Linked DNA regions of Saccharomyces cerevisiae S288C. The protein of the gene in region 1 binds, or shares a complex with, the protein of each later gene. Each region holds a gene or a part of one and is shown on either strand. Other genes may lie near its edges. A codon is read from its position in the direction of its gene.

Region 1 (2,778 bases):
CGTCCAATATTTTATTGGATGAAGAAGAAAAAGTAGCGAAACTTTCTGATTTTGGAAGTTGTATTTTCACTCCCCAATCATTACCTTTCAGCGATGCTAATTTTGAAGATTGTTTTCAGAGGGAATTGAACAAAATTGTTGGTACTCCGGCATTTATTGCACCAGAGCTATGTCATTTGGGCAATTCCAAAAGAGATTTTGTGACGGATGGCTTTAAGTTGGATATTTGGTCATTGGGAGTGACACTATACTGCTTACTGTACAACGAGCTGCCATTTTTCGGGGAAAATGAATTCGAAACCTACCACAAAATCATCGAAGTATCATTGAGTTCCAAAATAAATGGTAATACTTTAAACGATTTAGTCATTAAAAGGTTATTGGAGAAAGACGTTACTTTACGCATAAGTATTCAGGATTTAGTAAAGGTTTTGTCGCGTGACCAGCCCATAGATTCTAGGAATCACAGTCAAATTTCATCGTCCAGTGTGAACCCCGTAAGAAACGAAGGTCCTGTAAGAAGATTTTTTGGTAGGCTACTGACTAAAAAAGGAAAGAAAAAGACCTCAGGAAAAGGGAAAGACAAGGTATTGGTATCTGCAACTAGTAAAGTAACACCTTCGATACATATCGACGAGGAACCGGATAAAGAATGTTTTTCGACTACGGTCCTTAGATCTTCGCCAGACTCGAGCGATTATTGTTCATCGTTAGGGGAGGAAGCCATTCAGGTTACGGATTTCTTAGATACTTTTTGTAGGTCAAATGAAAGCTTACCTAATTTGACTGTGAATAATGATAAGCAGAATTCGGACATGAAAACTGACAGAAGCGAGTCATCCTCTCATTCGTCATTGAAAATCCCAACACCTATCAAAGCCATGATAAGACTAAAGAGTTCCCCTAAAGAGAACGGGAACAGAACCCATATTAATTGCTCACAGGACAAACCGAGTTCCCCACTAATGGATAGGACTGTTGGAAAGCGCACGGTTAACAATTCAGGGGCTAGAAAGCTTGCTCATTCAAGTAATATTCTCAACTTTAAAGCATACATAAATTCGGAAGATAGTGACATTCGAGAAACAGTAGAAGATGTAAAAACGTATCTGAACTTTGCAGATAATGGTCAAATATAGATGAAACTACAGGATGATATCTGTCGGATTGGGTTAGCTGATAATCGTATAGCCGATGTGAAATATGATTATTAATTGATTTACTTGGTTATGGTAAATACATAAATATATATATAGAAACGGCAAATTACCCACATTTGCATTTGTATTAATAACACTAAAGATAATATTCATAATATACCATCATTGATAATTGAAATCGACATCAACATTTATCAATTGAGAGTTTAGTGGTCTTCTATTGCGAGAATATCGAACGATATGATTTATCTTGATCCCACTGTGTCGCGAAATCGCGGAAGTAAATTGAAAACAAAAGAAAAACAAAACTTCATCGATAAATATTGAGAAAACATCTCTTAAAAACAGTAGTAGATAATCTTGAGAATTTACTTTATAAAAAACAGAAGAAGGACTGAATATAGAAAGAATACTAATATAACATAATCATGTCAAGTAAACAACAATGGGTTAGTTCTGCTATTCAAAGTGATTCGAGTGGAAGATCACTCAGTAACGTCAACAGGCTTGCAGGAGACCAACAATCTATTAACGATCGTGCGTTATCGTTATTGCAGAGAACAAGAGCGACAAAGAACCTGTTTCCAAGAAGAGAGGAAAGAAGACGTTATGAAAGCTCAAAAAGTGACCTAGATATCGAAACAGACTACGAAGACCAAGCAGGTAATCTAGAAATCGAGACAGAAAATGAAGAAGAAGCTGAAATGGAAACTGAAGTACCTGCACCAGTGCGAACTCATTCATATGCCTTAGACAGATATGTTAGACAGAAAAGGAGGGAAAAACAAAGAAAGCAGAGCTTAAAGCGCGTCGAAAAGAAATATACTCCTAGTGAATTAGCTCTGTACGAAATTCGAAAATACCAACGTTCCACGGATTTATTAATCTCCAAAATTCCATTTGCAAGGCTAGTGAAAGAAGTTACAGACGAGTTTACAACTAAAGATCAGGATTTACGTTGGCAGTCAATGGCGATTATGGCGTTACAGGAAGCAAGCGAAGCGTATCTGGTAGGATTATTGGAACATACAAACCTCTTGGCGCTGCATGCAAAAAGAATTACTATAATGAAGAAAGACATGCAACTAGCAAGAAGAATCAGGGGACAGTTTATTTAGTGATATTTGTGCTTCAGGGCTGGAGCCGATTTTTCCCTTTTTCGGGGTTTATATTGACTTAAGGTACTTTAAATGTTTTAAATAAGGTTATTATAAGGTCATATTAGCATACCTTTCGGTTCGACAAGTGCTCTCCGCTGTTGACAGTTTTTTTTTCATGTTCACTTGTTGGCTTTGTAAGACATTTTTGGCAGTCCCCTATATTTCGCGATGAAGCTCCAAATCAAAGGTTAAGGGTAGAGGTTATTTCTTTTTCAGACTGATTAAGGGATACTTCTGCAGGATATACATGATGGAAAATGATGCACTCAAAGATGGTATTTAACACATGAAAATCTTCATAGAAAGCACCATGTTTTCTACAATGTCTAAACAAAAGTGATCACATGAGTTCAAATCAGTAGTTTTAGAGTGTGATTGACAATAAAACTTTAGGAACAAGTACAATACTATAATGTCACTAATATCTGCGTTGCAAACCACCGATGTGGAATCTGTCC
Region 2 (3,127 bases), on another chromosome or scaffold:
TCCTCCTGATCTAGCTGCTGATGCTGTTGCTGCAATTGTTGTTGCTGTTGTTGTTGTTCCTGTAACTGCAGCATCATATTATTTCTTGGCGTGGCATAAGCGACTCTTAAGGCCCTTCCTTGAAACCATTTCCCACTCATCTCAATCAGTGCCCTGCGGCGCTCATCTTCATCACCGAATCTGACAAATCCAAAACAACGAGATGATCCTGTTAAAGGGTCAGTCATCACGCGGACGGTTTTAACAGATTTGAACCTCGTTTGGAAAAGAGATAACAAATCAGCTTCAGTGGCGGTGGGAGAAAGATCACCAACAAACAAGGAAAATTCTGGGGTAGATGGTATAGAACTTTGTAAAGTAGCTCCAGACGCCCAATTCAATCTGAAAGTCCTTTTGAACGTTGGATTAGTTTGGGAGTTAGTTGTTGGGGAATAAAAATTAGGTAAAGGTGTAGCATTTAATGACAGGGCAAATTTAGCGTCCTTTTGAGTTTCAAATTCGACAAAACAGTATCCGGCATGATGTAATTGAGTAGTGGAAGGATCAATGAAGGATATTCCATTAATATTAATCATTTGGGAATTATCTAACTGATCAGTGCTGTTTGATGCAGATTGCTGGTTTTCAGCATTCTCCTCACTTGTGTTGTTATTACTACTTGAGGTGGAGCTACAAGGAATCAACAAATTTTTTTTGGCTCTAATTAGTTTAACGATAACTTTTTTATCCAGTTTTGACCATATCTCCTCAATCGTGGCCTCGTCGAAGGACGGATCCAAATCTCCCATCCATAACGTTCTTGGGGGTTCAGTAGAAGTTTCCACTGTGGATGAAGGAGGCAATGGAATAATATATGGATTTTCCTGTCTTTGGGAGGCGTTAGCAACGTTAGACATCATTTGTGTAAATTTTTCAGGCAAAAATCGATGGCGAAGGATATGAAAAAGCTGTAATATTTAAAAGATCCAATAATAGTAAAAACAATATAAATCAGAACGAAAGGGAAAGAAAAAAGCCTCCTTTATTAATATTGGAACAGGAAGAGAATATCAAAAAATGAACCGGGAAAAAAATGGAATTACAATATATGACAATATAACAGATTCGATCACGAGAAATCAGAATATTTGGAACTAGGATATAACACGCAGATGGTTTTCCGTACAACTATGAAGAGTCAGAGAAAAAAAAAAATAGTGAATAAGAATGGTAATCTCTTTTATTGCTTCTTTGTCGACTGCGTCTATGTATATTGGTTCTAAAGGGAACAGGGTATGATAACCAGATTTAATTACAAATATGCTTATTTTCACTTTTAATGGAGTGTATGAAGGTGCGAAACTGCTTGCTTGACTAAGATTTGGTCTTGAATACAAGTTTGGGGAACGCTTTTTGGAACGGCACTATCGCCCCTTCACAGCCGTTTGAAGCTGGTAGAAAATATTTTATCGTGTTGTACGGAGAAATTTAATGGTGTATCCAAATATTGTTAAAGGACTAGTAGAAATGATAATGATTGATTTCATTAGCTATTATGGCAAGGGTCAACATCGTTGCAGTATAAGAAGCGATTGCTCTCATTTTTTTACGTGTCCTGTGTTGCTCTGTATTGTCTTGACTATTTGCGTGTTCATTTAAAGAAAAACCTCAGTATGGATAGAGACACTAAATTAGCTTTTAGGCTGAGGGGCAGTCATTCAAGAAGGACAGACGATATAGATGATGATGTTATTGTATTTAAGACGCCAAATGCTGTTTATAGAGAGGAGAACTCACCTATTCAATCTCCTGTTCAACCCATTTTGTCTTCACCAAAACTTGCGAATTCTTTCGAGTTTCCTATTACCACTAATAACGTAAATGCGCAGGACCGTCATGAACATGGGTATCAGCCCTTGGATGCAGAAGACTATCCCATGATCGACTCTGAAAATAAAAGTCTTATAAGCGAATCGCCGCAAAATGTTAGAAATGATGAAGACCTTACTACTCGTTACAATTTCGATGATATACCCATTAGACAGCTATCATCGTCTATCACTTCTGTGACCACAATTGATGTTTTATCTTCTTTATTCATAAACTTATTTGAAAATGATTTGATTCCGCAAGCTTTGAAGGATTTCAATAAAAGTGATGATGATCAATTTAGGAAACTATTGTACAAATTAGATCTGCGACTCTTTCAAACGATATCAGACCAAATGACCAGAGACTTGAAAGACATATTAGATATCAACGTGTCGAATAATGAGCTCTGCTACCAACTGAAGCAGGTACTTGCTCGAAAAGAAGATTTGAACCAGCAGATAATATCGGTACGAAATGAAATTCAAGAGTTGAAAGCCGGTAAAGACTGGCATGACTTACAAAATGAACAAGCCAAACTGAACGACAAAGTGAAGCTAAATAAGAGGCTAAATGATTTGACTTCTACTTTGCTAGGCAAATACGAGGGAGATCGCAAAATTATGAGCCAAGATAGCGAGGACGATTCAATACGGGATGACTCAAATATTCTGGATATTGCACATTTCGTAGACTTGATGGATCCATATAACGGACTTCTGAAAAAGATAAATAAAATTAATGAAAATCTTTCTAACGAATTACAACCAAGTCTATAGGGAATTGGTTCAAAAGATGTATATATATATATATATATATATATATGTATGTATATATGTATATATGTATATATGTATTACTTCCATACTAAGGAAGTTGTGTTATAAGGTCATTTTTATGTGGTAGACATACTTCATAGATATGCACAAATCTCTCTTTTTTTTTCCTGTTGTCGCTATTAGCTTATCAAATTTGCATCATTTTCAAGTAACGCTGTGACCATTCTGTAGAAGTAGAAAAAGAATATGAGAAGGTAAAATCCCAATTTTAAAAAGCATTCAATTTTGCATCTACCCAATTTTCTGAAAATATCCGTGGCGTCCAGTAGATGTGTTTTCTTGTAGACTTTACTTGCGTTATATGCTAGAACAGGGACATTCAAGAGAAATACGAACCAGTACCCGTTAAAAAGAAACAATGCAGAAATGAAAGCTTGTAGAATTGCCTCTGGTACACTCAACCTATTCACCCTCTTACACAGTTCGATTGAGTTGATATA

The links. The genes of interacting proteins can lie anywhere in the genome.
Region 2: the proteins of CSE4 (region 1) and AME1 are in contact, whole or in part, in a crystal structure (PDB 8T0P), measured with the Saccharomyces cerevisiae proteins. Residues at the interface, in NP_012875.2 of Saccharomyces cerevisiae: Ile34 (codon at 1,688), Arg37 (codon at 1,697), Ala38 (codon at 1,700), Leu41 (codon at 1,709), Arg44 (codon at 1,718); in NP_009770.3 of Saccharomyces cerevisiae: Asp188 (codon at 2,214), Lys190 (codon at 2,220), Asp191 (codon at 2,223), Ile192 (codon at 2,226), Asp194 (codon at 2,232), Ile195 (codon at 2,235), Ser198 (codon at 2,244).

What each region holds. Positions count from the first base shown.
Region 1 is NC_001143.9:345,575-348,352, reverse strand, and holds CSE4 (centromeric DNA-binding histone H3-like protein CSE4), read left to right. Parts: upstream 1-1,588; coding exon 1,589-2,278; downstream 2,279-2,778. Other genes in the region: serine/threonine protein kinase ELM1, read left to right, coding at 1-1,139; LPX2 (Lpx2p), read left to right, coding at 2,733-2,778. UniProt on the Saccharomyces cerevisiae protein: Histone H3-like nucleosomal protein that is specifically found in centromeric nucleosomes. Replaces conventional H3 in the nucleosome core of centromeric chromatin that serves as an assembly site for the inner kinetochore.
Region 2 is NC_001134.8:645,658-648,784, reverse strand, and holds AME1 (Ame1p), read left to right. Parts: upstream 1-1,652; coding exon 1,653-2,627; downstream 2,628-3,127. Other genes in the region: NGR1 (Ngr1p), read right to left, coding at 1-899; ERV15 (Erv15p), read right to left, coding at 2,807-3,127.